Cricetulus griseus: one gene and its partners. The protein of the gene in region 1 purifies or fractionates together with the protein of each later gene. This does not show direct contact. Links are inferred from orthologs where the notes say so. Each region holds a gene or a part of one and is shown on either strand. Other genes may lie near its edges.

The links. Proteins that work in one complex are often made in the same cells at the same time.
Region 2: the proteins of Birc2 (region 1) and Tank purify together in Homo sapiens (affinity purification with mass spectrometry; 4 studies listed by BioGRID and IntAct, with this or other methods). This does not show direct contact. The link is inferred for Cricetulus griseus from reciprocal best matches to the Homo sapiens genes BIRC2 and TANK.
Region 3: the proteins of Birc2 (region 1) and Htra2 purify together in Homo sapiens (affinity purification with mass spectrometry; 4 studies listed by BioGRID and IntAct, counting the BioPlex papers as one, with this or other methods). This does not show direct contact. The link is inferred for Cricetulus griseus from reciprocal best matches to the Homo sapiens genes BIRC2 and HTRA2.

Annotation. Positions count from the first base shown.
Region 1 is NC_048597.1:122,199,894-122,204,762, reverse strand, and holds the end of Birc2 (baculoviral IAP repeat-containing protein 2), read left to right. Parts: coding exon 1-134; intron 135-2,718; coding exon 2,719-2,973; intron 2,974-3,201; coding exon 3,202-3,243; intron 3,244-3,328; coding exon 3,329-3,522; 3' UTR 3,523-3,981; downstream 3,982-4,869. UniProt on the Homo sapiens protein: Multi-functional protein which regulates not only caspases and apoptosis, but also modulates inflammatory signaling and immunity, mitogenic kinase signaling, and cell proliferation, as well as cell invasion and metastasis.
Region 2 is NC_048599.1:113,304,743-113,310,028, forward strand, and holds the start of Tank (TRAF family member-associated NF-kappa-B activator), read right to left. Parts: upstream 3,449-5,286; 5' UTR 3,337-3,448; intron 1-3,336.
Region 3 is NC_048601.1:74,225,177-74,230,472, reverse strand, and holds Htra2 (serine protease HTRA2, mitochondrial), read left to right. Parts: upstream 1-1,848; 5' UTR 1,849-1,887; coding exon 1,888-2,363; intron 2,364-2,468; coding exon 2,469-2,673; intron 2,674-2,762; coding exon 2,763-2,957; intron 2,958-3,213; coding exon 3,214-3,246; intron 3,247-3,443; coding exon 3,444-3,549; intron 3,550-3,682; coding exon 3,683-3,752; intron 3,753-4,493; coding exon 4,494-4,589; intron 4,590-4,687; coding exon 4,688-4,853; 3' UTR 4,854-5,033; downstream 5,034-5,296. Other genes in the region: Aup1 (ancient ubiquitous protein 1), read right to left, coding at 189-262, 359-431, 656-840, 1,052-1,202, 1,282-1,419, 1,498-1,634.

The sequences.
Region 1 (4,869 bases):
GACAGTTCAGAGTCAACTCCTGGCCACTGGCGAAAACTACAAGACGGTCAGTGATATTGTCTCAGCACTTCTTAATGCTGAGGGTGAAAGAAGAGACGAGGAGGAGGACAGACAGACTGAAGAACCGGCCTCAGGTATTGCAGGGTTGGTGGCTACACAGTTTCTCAGTTACATGTTACATATCAGCATCCTTGACTCACACCCATAGGCTTTTGGAGACATCCCTCTTTCCCCAGTATTTCTAAACTGTCTGTCTGTCAAGCTCAGGCTGGCTTCAAATTCGGTCTGTAACTAGCTCTGTCCTTGAACTCCCCTGAGCTTCCGGCGCCCGACGCCAGAGTGCTGGGATTACATATATATGCTACCATACCCCAATTTACAATAAACTTTTTTCTTGAGCTATATTATATTTCTTCTTTTTGCATAGCTAAATTTTAAAAAGCATGATTTAAGGGGTTGGAGAGATGTCTCAGTGGCTAAGAGCTTTTGCAGTCCTTGCAAAGAGCCTGGGTTTGGTTCCCATCATCCATGTGGAGTCCAATGTCCTAAACCCCAGTCCCAGTGTATCTGACACCCTCTTGTGACCTTTGCGTGCACCTGGTGCACACACAGACACTCAGCTCCTACACATACACGTACACATACAAATGGATACTTTTTCTTTAAAGCAAGATTTAAAACTGATTGAGAGCTGATTGTAGTGGAACATGACTCATTCCTACAACCCTAGCATTCAGGAGAGTGAAGCAGGAGTGTGCTGAGCTCAGGGTCAGCCTAGGCTACATAGCAGGAATCTCTCTTTAAAAGATTGAGATATTTCTACTTTTTAAATAAAGTTCCTTTAAATCTGGTTTCTAATATGGTATTTTATTAGTAGGTATTTACTTGTTAGGTTATCCTTATACCAAAAAGTCAACTTAAGATGATCCTGGGCTGTGATCCTTTGTCCAGCCCATGGACAGTATATAATGATTTTGATATTTGTGTACTTTTTTTTTTTTAACATCTTAACCTCCCAGAACATGTCTTCTGAGTAATTACATTTTCAACAAATATTTTCATATGTTTAAATATGTAAACAGCAGAGGTAAATAATGTGAAAGTGATGATTGTTCTCAAGGAACATGTAAAAGCTGGGGAAACTTGGTTCAAAAGACAGAATCAGAGAGCTAGCAGAGGGCCTGCAAGACAGCTAAGTGGAAAAGGGTGCTTGCTGTCCACCCTCATAACCTTAGTTCAGTACCTGAGATGCACACAGTAGGAGGAGAGAACCAGCTCCTGCAGGTTGTCCTCTGATGGCTATATGCACATCATGGTACTGAATCTCTCTCTCTCTCTCTCTCTCTCTCTCTCTCTCTCTCTCACACACACACACACACACACACACACACACACACACACACGGTACAAAAAACTTAAAAGCTGTCAGAGACGTGAAGGTTGTATGTGTAATGTAAATTGAGGTATTAGGTTAGAAAACACTTTTGTCCTTAAATAAAGGTAGAAATAGTTCAGGCCAATGAGGTACTTGCTACCAAGCCTGATGGCTGAGTTTGATGCCCAGGACCCACACGGTGGCATCCCATCCCCCACCCCCCACCCCCCAAGGAAGAAAATGATTTTTTTTTAAGGACTAACTAGTTCAGGACAGCCTTATTGTATGACCATATATCAAAATGTTTAAAATTCTAACTTCTGGATTGATACACATTTACATTTAAGTTCTGGCATTTTTTTGGTTAGCAGGTAGGCAGCTCATTCAACTAAACTTAAGGTTTCTTACCTCTGAAGTGAGGTTATCTGTTATGAACAAGCTAGATTCAATTTTTAAAGCTGCACTATAAATTTAGATTTACAAGATGCACCAGGTAATGTAAGGTAATAAAATGCATTTTATTGAACTCTGTAAGGAAGGTGTTGTTACTCATATTTCAGATTGGAAAGCTGAGGTGTATAGCAGGGGGACATGGCTGAAGTGTCTAGACTTGCCTTTGGGCCAGCAAAGTCCATCTTGACTTGTCGCTTAAGCTCTTGAGTGCTGTAGTTCATAGATGGTGTGGAGTCTCAGAAAGGACATCAGCACTGTGTAAACCAGGCTTGATGGTTCATGCCTGTAATCCCAATACCTAGAAGATACTCATGAGGATCAGGGCTATCCTTGGCTCCATTTGGAGCCTGGATACATAAGGTCCTGTCTCAGTAAATAACAAACCAAAAAACTCAACTAGTTTAGGACTGGTTTGGCAACTCATTTTGTGGTCTTTGACAAGCCACTCATGCTGTTCTAAGGCTCCCTCTCTGGAAGATAGTTGGCTTATTTAACTGACATTTTGAATGTGACAGTTTGTGTGCCTGTACTTATAACCAATAAAGAGATATAATACAGATAAAAATAAATTACTTTTTAACTCCATTGTGGGGAAAGAGAAAGAAAAAGAGGGCACATGTTTTACTACTCTCTAAAGTTTTCTGCTTGTTCTCAACAATTTACAGACATGGGTCCAGGTCCATTAGCATTTAGACTTGAAAGTATTTGTGCTGTGTGGGACATCTGAATTTAATGTGGAAGTTTATGATGGCAGTATGGAGGTGCAAACAAGTCATTTTCCTTCCCCTTCAAGCTCCATTTAGTGCCTAATTTGTGCATAGGGGTCATTGGGTATACTTGGGGCCTTTGACATTTAACGGAACTTTTTCCTTGCTTGTTTTTAACTGAAGGTGACTTGTCATTAATACGGAAGAATAGAATGGCTCTCTTTCAGCAGTTGACCTGTGTCCTTCCTATCCTGGATAATCTTCTTGAGGCCAGTGTAATTACTAAACAGGAACATGATATTATTAGACAGAAAACACAGATACCCTTACAAGCAAGAGAGCTGATTGACACCGTTTTAGTCAAAGGAAATGCTGCAGCCAACATCTTCAAAAACTGTCTAAAGGAAATCGACTCCACATTATATGAAAACTTATTTGGTGAGTTTGTTAGGGAAATTATTTAGTTACCAGTAGGGTTTTGTTCATCTCTCTGTTGAGCAAGCAGAATAAATCCAGTTAAAACTGTAATCTTTACATTTTACCTGTTCCAAAAATACTGGTGTATTTTACTGTCTAGGTAGTATTCTTTGTAATATGTAGCAAAAATCTATATAAAAACAGTAGATTTGAAAAAATGAATGATTTTTGTATGCTTTCTTTTTTCAGTGGAAAAGAATATGAAGTATATTCCAACAGAAGATGTTTCAGGTAAAGTACAGTTAGTACTTCAACATTATTTCTGTTACTTTTTAGAAGTTGCATTTTACTAATGTTCTTTTTTGTTCTTTCTTAGGCTTGTCGCTGGAAGAGCAGTTGCGGAGGTTGCAAGAGGAACGAACTTGCAAAGTGTGTATGGACAGAGAGGTTTCTATTGTGTTCATTCCCTGTGGTCATTTGGTAGTCTGCCAGGAATGTGCCCCTTCTCTGAGAAAGTGCCCCATCTGCCGGGGTACAATCAAGGGGACTGTACGTACTTTTCTCTCATAAATGAAGAATGGTTTTAAAGTATTATTGGACACCAGAAGCCATCTGAACAAAGAATGGATTACTGATTCAACCAGTACATTCATGTTTGCTCTTCTTCAGAATTACTCATCTTGCTTCATGAAAGGTGGTATTGTGTATTTAATCTTGATCTGTTTAGTTGAAAGGGAATGTCTATGCTGATAAGCTAAGGGAGTGTGTATGTATAAGGAGTAGTAGTGTTTGCTGTGTGTCATTCAGGAGTCACTGGATTTGGAATTTCTGAAAACTTTAGGTTCAGGTGATGTAGAGCTCAGAGACTCTGGAAACCAGTAGTCCTGGCACTCAGCAGTTAGGGTGCGCCATGCTTCTTGGTGCTTTTTCCTTCTGGAAAATAAGGATTTTTCTGTTACTTGGTAAATAAGATTCCCCTAGTTGTGAGAAACATATTAATAAAGTGTTTTTTAAAGGCTTGCATCATCACAGTGTGTTTTCTTTTTTTTTTTTCTGAGCACAAACATAAAAATAGAGCACATTTATTAAGAGTAGGAAAGCCACACTTACAGTAAGTAACAATGTATCAAATCTCACATAGTAAACACAGCAAAAGAGAGCAACTCCTTACTTGATATTCTGATGCAGTATCTTCAAAGCCTGTCCTTAACACATATCCACATAAGGCATTCATTTCATAGGCAGAAAAAATGACATCATTGAAACAGATTTCCTGGTTTTCAGCTTTGATTATATTCTACAGATACACTTGAAATACAAAAAAAAAAAAATCAACAAAAGCTGAGCATGGTGGCACATATCTCTAATCCCTGCATTAGAAGAAGCAAAAGCAGGTAGATCTCTGTGAAATCAAGGCCGGCTTTCCTCTACATAGTGAGTTCCAGGCCAGCCTGGCCTACAAATCGAGACCCCAACTTTAAAAAAAGAAAAACAGCAAGAACACAATATTCATTCCTAAAATAAATGTGCAATATATATGTGTGTGTGTGTGTGTGTGTGTGTGTGTGTGTGTGTGTGTGTGCATATATATATAACTTTTATTAATATTCTGTACAATGGCGAATATTTAGAAAGGTCTGATGTTTTCAATTCCCCTGTGAATCACACTGATGTTTTTGGTCCATTAGTCCGGTGGAGGGAGTTGTATTTCTTTTTCTTTGGTGGCTCATCATCTGAGCTACTCTGTACTGCGACTGCTGCTGCTGGAGGTGGCTGGAGTCTGAGTCTGAGTCCGAAGAGGAGGAGGAGGAAGAGGAGGAGCTAGAGACCTGTCATCCAAGTCACTGTCTTCTGAGGAGGATGAGGCAGATGTCTGGCTCTCTGATGAAGACTCACTGGCAAAACTGTCACTGCTAG
Region 2 (5,286 bases), on another chromosome or scaffold:
CAAAAGCCTGCACAGGCTCAAGCCAGACCTCCCAGCACTGAGAGAAGGAAGGGGACATCAGCTCCCACTCCTAACCAAGAAGCTTTCCATAGCTGAGATCCAAGGCAAAAGAAAAATCAGTTTTCTACAATAGGGGTCTTACTGGGTTTATTAACTACACTTTCCCACAGGCCCCATGTCCAGGAGTGTCTGGCCAACACAAAACAAACTCAATAGTATTTTTGGAGATTTTTTTGTATCATTTCTGCTTTGTTTGGACTTTTGTTTGTTTTATTGGTATTTTGCTTGTTTATTTTGATTTCCATATTTGTGTGTGTGTTTTTTGGGTTTTTGTTTTTGCTTGTTTGAGAGGGGGGAGAGAGAGGGAGAGGGAGGGAGGGAGGCAGGCAGGGAGAGAGAGAGAGAGAGAGAGAGAGAGAGAGAGAGAGAGAGAGAGAGAGAGAGAGAGAGAGAAGAACACATGTTGGGTGAATAGAGAAGTGGAGAGGCTCTGGGAAGGATTGGGGGAGGGGAAACCATGATCAAAATACATTGTATGAAAAAAATGTTTTCAAGGAAAGATTACTTTTCAAAAAAAATTGCTTCAAACGAAACTTAAATGGTGTGGAAGAAAACAGCACAAAATTTGCAAATAGAAGACATTGGAAAAGGTTGTAAAGAATGACTTGCAAGCAGGAAAGCCAAGGTCTATATTTTGGATGTATTCCTTAGACGTTTCAAGGAACAGACCATGTTCACGAAACTCTTGTTAGAATATGGAGCGTTTTGGCATTTTTTTCTCACTTTACTTTCTGAAAGTAAACTTTAGTGTAGAAACTCATCACTGATAGGTTCTGTAAAATGAAAATATAGATGAATTTGTCTTATGAATATGAATGTGAAAATTCTCAGTAAATCACAAACATTTGCTTTCCAGTATGTATTTTCTTAATGTAAACTAGATACAAGATAATCAATTTGGACACACATTTTGCATACCCTCTTTGGATGTAACTTTCGAAAGCTGTTTGCAGGAAGCATATGAACAGCTGCTTTGTTTATAGATCTGGTTGCTCTGCCTGGATAGGGCTCCTTGGCTTACAACAACATTGTTTTCATTCTTTTCTGTTAGTTTGAGCTGTGAACTGAATTGTGAAGCCAAAATGATAGAAGAGAGGCGTCTAAGCATGTGGATTGAAGAGAAAAAGGAAATGTGTAGGCTTGGTTTGGTTTGATCAACCAATTTATTATTTTCATCTGAGAAATAACAAAATACGTTTTCTATTTATAAATCAGCTCAGTCACAGAAACACAGCAGCACCCTGATTTCTGCTAGGTCTTTTAAAAAAGCAGATCACTGCCTCATTAGAAATGCTAAAATATGACAGTTGTCTCTAATGTTACCAAAGACACTGAGTATTGTTTAACATTTATATTTTTTATTAAGTGCACCCTTAATAAAGCAAGATATATTTTTAATGATAAAGCATTTCCCTCAAGCCAAGAGCCAATGTCGTGGGTTTTTTTTTGGTTGTTGCTGTTGTTTTTTCATATTAACCACTAGGGAAATTCCCCTGAGATCAGAAATATAACAGTTGACTACTTTCTCCTCTGTTACGAAGCCCTGATCCACCAATTCTATCTAGTTGGTGTGGTGAGAAAACAAAAAGGAAGAAGCATGTCCAAGCATTCTTTTTGATCTAGAAATCACAGGTAAGTTATGTAATTTAGAAAAAACAAGATATCGATAAATGACCAGATAAAATTATGAAATCAAGATGTTACCAGTAGTTAAAACACACCTGAAAGAACATTCTCACTGGGATAATTCCCATGCTGTGTTCATAAAGGAGCAGACAAAGCAAACTGGCTTGGAATACATTCTACTATTTATATCTACAACGTGTAATGCAAAGGACCCCAGATGTTTACCAAAGCCTCAATATATAGCAAGAGAGGATGTTCACAGACGGGGAAGGTTTTTTACTGCACGGACAATCATTTCCCTTAATGTGACTGCACACATTTTCTAAAATTCCAACCAGAATTTTTCCCCAGGGGAATTTTAGTGATTTGTTTTGAGTCATCCTGGTGGCCATAGTTGAAAATGTTTAAGAGCTCTAGAACCCCCGCTGGCTTCTGGGCACACATTTAGGCACAATGAGTTCACATACAGTTCCACATCCCCCAGAGGCAGAGTAGTATGTTACCTATATCCTTACACATGCAACTGTACTCCTAGGGAGACCAAAGAGATGGCAGTGGAGACAGTTTCCAGGAATGATATGATCATTCTGTAACTTGGATAAAGTCATTTTCTCTTTTCCTCATTCTACTGCAGCTTGGGTAAAACATCCTAAGCATAGTTTGAATATTGTGAGAGGGCAGGACAGTGGTGGTAAAAAGCCAGGGAAAATGAACTGATGTGAGTTTATATTTAAGTCTTGTCTAACTATGTCACTGAATTACTACCACTGAAAATATTGGATCATTTTCCTCTAGCAGACACTTACTGTCTAAAAACTATCAATATGACAATACTGATAACAGTTCTTGATATTTAATCTAGGATTATCCTTACGAAAATATTATATAATCTTTAATATTAATGAAAATAAAGGGCTTGTTGGTAACAAAGTAAGACTTGATTACTATAATTAGAATTCCTTATAAAGCTAATAATTGATGTCATAAAATATTCATCATCATGTATTTCTTATGAGAATAAAAGTAAGTTAAGTTAATATTTGAATAGACACATTTGGTCATGCTGAAATTGATTTTTTAAAAGTATAAGCAAAAAGTATGACTACATATGCTTTTAATTTACTTCCACCTTAGTAAGCTAACTTAGGTCAAATATCTCTCAGTCTTATGGCATAAAAAAATCACTTCTTGAGAAGACTTACATATCAGATACAAACTTTTAAATTCATTTCAATTAAAGACATAAAAAATTCTATGTTAGGGGGAGGCTGGGCATTGGTGACACACACCTTTAATCCCAGCACTCGGGAGGCAGAGACAGGTGGATCTCTGTGAGTTCGAGGCCAGCCTGGTCTCCAGAACGAGTGCCAGGGTAGGCTCCAAAGCTACACAAAGAAACCCTGTCTCGAAGGAAAAAAAAAAAAGTTAGGGGGAAAGAAAAAGAGTCACAGTGTTTTAAAGTTTCCTTGGGTCTTGGCTTTTTTGAAGGCCAGATTTCTAACTGTGTCAGTGATGACCTAGGCACCACTGACTTGTGTCTGGAGCTGGTTAGCTGGCTGGTGCAGGAGTGGAACAGATCTTGCCATACTGAAGGCATCCCAACCACCTTGCTATGCTAAGAATTAATAGGAATTAGGAAGATTTGATTACCTCGTTTCCAGGTTACACGACTCCCTTCATAGACTACTTTTCTTTAAAGATGTAGGCAGGTACACGTTCTGGAAGCTGTTTTCACAGGCTCTGCAATGCTGCCCAAACTGTCCTGAGCTCTCCCTTGTGTTGAACTGGGGACTTCCACTAAAAATCCCCTGACTTGAAGACTTCCTTATTTGTAGCTATCAACAGCCAATCATGGCAAGATATTGAAATGAAGCAAAAACTACCAGAAAATATTCTGAAACCACCCGTGACTATAACTCTGGCTTCCTTTTGAAGCAATGATATTTTACCTGAATAGTTAAGGCATTAAAAAAAATTAGAAACTACAAACATGAATTTTTTTGGAAGAAGTATTTTCCATGTAAAAAGTTTTAAAAGTCAGCTTATTTGAAAATGCCATTTAGTCTTTGAGCCACATTTGACCCCAAACCATTGTATTTATAAGTAACAGGCAAAACTCATATTTGAGTATAATCTGAGTATATTTTTCTTTGCTTTCTGACTTACAGAGGTCACTTGGATGAAACCTAGTGAAAAAATAAGGTATGGCTTCAGATTCCAGAGTTTGAATATAAACCGTGGTAAGAAAGGTGAAGCAAAGAAGACTCTTCAGACAGAATTTCTAGTTTGAGACATAAGTCTCTGGTTACATAGATGAGCATATGTTCCAACACACCAGGGGAATTTCTCTCAGGCCACGTGGAACTAAGCTGTTAGTTTTACAAGGAAACGGAAGGCAGCAGTATTTGGACATTTTTCATTGTTATAAAATGTTAGAGTTGGAAATTTAGACAGCTTCTGTTCCATTTCCCTTTTCTTACAGATGAGTAAACAGGGGAGGTAAATGTTCAATGTCACAAAGTTAGAAGCAACAGTCGCTCTAAGTGACCTGAATTTAAGTGCAATGTCATATTTACTGCATTATGCTCTCCCATGGGAAGTCCAGGAGCTGGAACAAGGCTGGATCTAGTGGGAAGTTGCCCTGCTGAGTTAGGAAGTCTGTGGAGGCATCCCCCAGAATTCCAGTTAATAGAAACTAAAATTTACACTTTCTGATTTGTAGTCTAGTTTCTTTGCTACTTTAAAGCCCTACCATCTCATTACATATTACAAGCATGTTGGATGTAATGTTGCATATGGTGGAATTATCCTCTAAAAATATGTTTTTGAAGTTTCTAAAGTGCCGATTAAGAGTGTGTTTAAAACTGTTCTATTTACCCATTAAATGCACAGTGAAGCATTTCTTTCACATTATGTCCTTATAACAATCTTACTCATGAAATATCAGATGTTAAACATGCTTTTGTCCAATGGAAAACTAGAATCTAACTGTAAATACAACAAAGTGAAATATCAAAAACTTAAGATAGTATTGGTGTGAGGAAATTTATTCCTTATGAATTTACAGTTATGAAGCAAGCTTTTAAAAGCTTTTTTGGGAAAGTGGTGCTTCCATATTGACTTGGAAATACTCCAATTTTTTGTTGTCTCCATCCTGTAACCCTCTCTCTATTATTTACTTTGGCCATTGGGTTTGGCTGAGACCCAAACTTCTGGAAACTGGCTATTCCCAGTATATTGGCCTCAACCAGGTGAAACATTGAGAGAGACTTCCAAGACTGTGGAAACACTTTTTGAAGAAGTAATGTGTAATGTGTAAGTGTGTGAAATTAAAAGCCTATGACACCATAGACTAATTTAGACTCTTGGCAAGGTAACTGAATATTTTGGCTTGTTGTCCTTATGTCCTTTGTCAGATGTCTTTGGCCATTCCTGCCCCCTATTCTGTCTTTTTATCTTCAGAGAAATTCCAATAGGAAAGGAAGGAACAAGTGGGCGTGGGTGTCAAGCCCAAGTTAAGGGTGTGTGTGTGGGAACTTAGGTTCCAATTCAGACAAATGACCAGGATGTTGGCTAACCAATAAAAGCAGCAGCATCATA
Region 3 (5,296 bases), on another chromosome or scaffold:
AGGATGTCATCCCTTCCCCAGCTATCTTGGGACAATGGTGATGAGAGGGGGAGGTGAAGGGGGAAGTGTTGCCTCTGTGGTGGAACTCTGACATTAACAAATCCACAGACAGACAGGGCAGAGGTCACTACTTCTTTGACCTTGAAATGAGCATCTTCCCAGCCACCAAAACTGAGGACAGTTAGTACCTTACTTGATACACCGTGAAAGGGACGAAAAGTGACCACAGCAGTTCTGAGACCCAGGAAGCATCTGACACCGTCTGAGGGGAGGGCATGAAGTGAGGTCTAAGCAACGGCCAGAGGTGGGAAAACTTCCCCTCCAAACCCCAGAGATTTCCTGTCCAGCATGTACTCACCACAGAGACCAGCGGTCTTTGAACTTGCAGCGTAAGAGGTTGTACTACGTCCTGGATAGAAAATGGCCACGAACTAAGAAAGAGAGAGTAGGATCGGACAGAGTCCAGCAGAGCTCGGCCAACAACACAAACCTGACTTAAACAGGAAGCTGTCCAACTACATGAGCAAATAATCAAGGAATTAAGAATTTAGGGGACAGAACTAAAAGTGGACAGACAGGAAATGAACTGGAGCAGGTTCACCCAGGAGCTTGACACAGTCCACTAAACTGGAGTCAGAGATCTGTGCTTACCCACCTGAAACGCAGCAGCCCCTCTCTGCCATTGGTAGCCTCTTCCTCAGGGAAGAGCAGCAAAGGTGTGGGCGGAAGCCTTGTGGAAGCACAGAATTTCTTGAGTGACTCCACCAACTCCACCCGCCTATCCATCTCCATGAAGCCCCGAGACCAGCACACAAAGCTGGGGGGGCTATTGAGTAGAGGCTGAGAGCAGGGAGGAGAGAGAGCAAGGAGAGAACGGGGGGGGGGGGGGATGTCAAACAGGAAAGAAGAAAAAAGGTAACACGTGGGGTGGTGCTTATGGGGTGAGGGAAAAGATCGGTGTTCCCCAAGAGAACCCTAATGGGTAGAGGTGAGCACTGAGCTCGGGCCTGGGGAGCCACCCGGTGGCGCTCTCGGCCTCGCCCCCACTCACGGTGCTACAGGTGGTGAGCAGGTTGACTATGTTGTGGTCAAAAGGTGTGACATGGTTGGAAATAAGGACCCTGACGCGGTGATCCCGGAGTCCGGAGTCCTCCTGCCGGGCCACGAGCCCCAGCACTGCACACATGGTCCGCACCACGAACCTGGGGACACAGGCGGCAGTGACTGTGCGGTCTTGACCCAGGCCCAGCCCCGATGCTCCCGGGGCACCGCAGTCCGCACCTGCGGAGGACGCTGTCGGGCAGAGCACAGCTGACCAGGAAGACGTGGAGCCCTAGGAAGAGGCGCAGAACCAGGAGACACAGGCCGACCGGAGCGTAGAGCAGCAGCGCGAGCAGCAGGAAGCCGTCGCTCGGGAGCCTGCGGCGAGAGGCGACGCGATCAGGCGCCGAAGCCGAGAGAACGCGCTGACCGGCCTCTTCCCTCCGCAGCGCTTACCGGTGCGAGTCAAAGAGCCGCTCCGGCCCCGGAGCTGGAGGAGGTTCCATCGCAGCCGCCTCAGGAAAGCAGGGCCGGTGTCGCCGCCATCTTCGCAGGGCCGCGGGGACTCCTGGGAAGGCGGAGTCTTTGGGCATCCGCGGGGGATGCCAGAACCGGAGGTCCAGAGGCGCCCCGGAAGGGCAAGCGCTCCCAGCATGCCTTGCGGCCCCCGGGAGGCGTAAAGTCTGCGTGTATGTGTTCGCCCCGGACAACGCGTCCTGAAAGAACTACAATTCCCGGCATGCACCGGACAGATACCGGCGTGCCTCGCTTCTCCCAGTCGGCTTGCTGGGCTTCAGGGCACCGCCTCTGAGTAGGGCGGGCAAGGAGAGAGCCGAGGCGGAGCTGATGGCTGCGCTGAAGGCGGGGCGGGGTGCAGGCTGGAGCCTTCGGGCTTGGCGGGCTTTGGGGGGCATCTTCTGGGGGAAGGGCCCCCTTTTTACCCCTGACCTTCAGGCTCTGCTGACGTTAGGAAGTCCCGACCCTCTCCCGGCCCGGGTGCCTGTGGGGGTCCTTGCATCACGGGCATGTCTGACGTCTGGGACCCCAGATCTCTGGGCACGGCTGGCCGTGGGGACTGCAGGCTCCAGTGCCCAGGAGGCCCGCAGGAGCCCCGGCCCCCGTCGGCGCGAATGGCTGGCGGTGGCGGTGGGCGCAGGGGGAGCAATGTTGCTGCTGTTGTGGGGCTGGGGGCGGGGTCCTCCCGCGGTGCTGGCCGCTGTCCCCGCTCCGCCGCCCAGCTCTCCCCGGAGCCAGTACAATTTCATCGCAGATGTGGTGGAGAAGACAGCCCCAGCCGTGGTCTATATCGAAATCCTGGATCGGTAATGGTGAAGTTGACCGGGAGGTGTTGAAACCAACTGCCCTAAGGCAAGTGAGCAGGATGGGGTGGAAAGCAGAAGTGTAACCGGTGCTTTCCCCCATCCCAGGCACCCTTTCTCAGGCCGCGAAGTCCCCATCTCAAACGGCTCAGGATTCGTAGTGGCTTCAGATGGGCTCATCGTTACCAACGCCCACGTGGTGGCTGACCGGCGCCGAGTGCGAGTGCGGCTGCCTAGTGGAGACACATACGAGGCCGTGGTTACAGCTGTGGATCCTGTAGCGGACATTGCCACGTTGAGGATTCAGACCAAGGTGGGAATGGAGTAGGCCGGATCTGATGGCAGCTGTTTACTTGCTCCCGTCTTAAAATGACCAGTTTTGGCGTACTCGTTTCCCTTAAGGAGCCTCTTCCCACACTGCCCCTCGGCCGCTCTGCTGATGTCCGGCAAGGGGAGTTTGTTGTTGCCATGGGAAGTCCCTTTGCACTGCAGAACACGATCACATCTGGTATTGTCAGCTCTGCTCAGCGTCCAGCCAGGGACCTCGGACTCCCTCAAAACAACGTGGAATACATTCAGACCGATGCAGCTATTGATGTGCGTCCTGATATGAGAGAAGTTTGGAGCTGGGTGGGAGCTGGGGAGAATGGCTGTCTGTCTGGTGTGTGCACCAACTCCAATGTAGCTGGGCCTATATTAGACGTTGGACTGCAAAATGCAGCCACTCTAGTTCATGGGCTGGGAACAGAATCTGAAGAATTTCCCTATACCCTGGTTATGCCTACAGTGAGAGAATTCCCAGAGGCATAGAATTCCAGATCTCTTTGATGTTTTCTTTCATCTTATCCCACAGTTTGGAAATTCTGGAGGCCCCCTAGTTAACCTGGTGAGTGCCATGCTCTTCTAAGAATCCATACGCCAGGTCAGTGTGGGAAGGTTGGGTGTTTCTAACATTCAAGGACTTTTAGTTAAGTTTCTGTAGTTTCTTGTTTATCTCCTCGTATCCAATCAGACCCCTGCCCCCAAATCTTTGCTACTCTGCCATCTGTGTGGGCTAGGGGACAGAGGGCTGTGTCCCTGCAGGATGGGGAGGTGATTGGAGTGAACACCATGAAGGTGACAGCTGGAATCTCCTTTGCCATCCCTTCTGATCGCCTTAGGGAGTTTCTGCACCGCGGGGAGAAGAAAAGTGAGCCTTTCTTACTTATGATGGGACATAGGGGAGGGGCGGTTCATTGGGACTTGCTGGAGAGGGCTTTACTGGCAGGAGGTAAGGGAAAGAAGGATGTAGCTGGGTGGGCTCATTTGCCCTCTTTTTACAGATTCCTGGTTTGGAATCAGTGGGTCCCAGCGCCGCTACATTGGAGTGATGATGCTGACTCTGACTCCCAGGTATATTAGGGATCATGATATGTAGGACCACAAGTGTGTCTGTGCCTTACAGGTGGATTCTGTTATGGGTTTTGTTTTCATGTCTGTCTATCTACGGTGAGTTGTTGTCACAAGAGCTGTTCCCTCTCATCATAACTTTTTCATCCTATTGCATCTTGTACCTTTTTACTAGATTGATTGCGTCATGTTACTGCTGTGATTTAGAGACTTCATTGATCTAGCATTAAAAGAGCTATTTCTATTTCCAACTCTCTCTGATTACCTTGAAGACTTGCCTTGTTGCTTCTTCTGGATTACTTTGATTTTCCATACCTGTGTGTTGTCCCCCCCCCTCCTCCCCACCCCTGTCCCCCTGCCACCCCCAGGATAGGGTTTCTCTGTGAAGCCTTAGCTGTCTTGAAATTTGCTCTGTAGACCAGGCTGGACTTGAAATCACAGAGATCTGCCTGCCTCTGTCTCCTGAGTGTTGGGATTAAAGCCCACCACCACCCAGCTCACTTCTATGTCTTAATACCTTCTTATTTCATATGGTTAATAGGACCCATCCTTTTAGGCTCAGCTTAAGTTCTACCCCTTCCTTAAAGTAGAATGACAGACATGTAGTTTAACACTGTATCATTTGGAATTAGCTATCTTTCATGTGTTTTTCCCACTTCCTAAGCGCTAGAAGGCCAAAAAAGTGAACTGTCAGGATGAGAGAGGGCCTGGGTATACCTAACAGGGTGGTCTGTGCCCTTTCAGCATCCTTGTTGAACTACAGCTCCGAGAACCAAGCTTCCCTGATGTTCAGCATGGTGTCCTCATCCATAAAGTTATCCTGGGCTCCCCTGCACACAGGTGATGGAAAGCCTGCTCTGTGAGGTGGGGTGGAATGGGGTGCATGTATCCTTGAACGCAGCTGTGTACTCCTTCCTTGCCATGTTCATCCTCCACAGGGCTGGTCTTCGGCCTGGTGATGTGATTTTGGCCATTGGAGAGAAAATGGTACAAAATGCTGAAGATGTTTATGAGGCTGTTCGAACCCAATCACAGCTGGCAGTGCGGATCCGGCGGGGATCAGAAACACTGACCTTATATGTGACCCCTGAGGTCACCGAATGACTGGACTAGCAAGAGTGTGAACCCTCTGCTCTGATTTCCTCCTCGCCTTCCTAGCCTAGGTTCTGAGTGCACTGGGTGGAGGAGTCAATGGACCTGTAGAGGGCAGGTCCCTCTAACCACCAGCACCAACCCTGGGCTCTGAAGAACACATTTTATATAAAATAAAATTATACCTAGCAACATGTTTCAGTCATAAATGGGGGCTGGATCTTTTCCCCCACCAAAAGGCTAGAGGTAAAGCGGTACTTAGGAGAGCTGTGGGAGCTGACCTTCCTGACCTCCCTGTTCAAGGAATGAGCTGCTGCTGCCTTTCTGCTGGGACAGTTCTGTGTGGTGTGTTCTGTCTGTTGGCTGATTCTCCATGCTTGGCCAAAGGTACTGACAGCTGACCCAGTAGGGGAGGCACCAACTTCTGCTCAACTGTTTGTCATCCGTAGTGCACA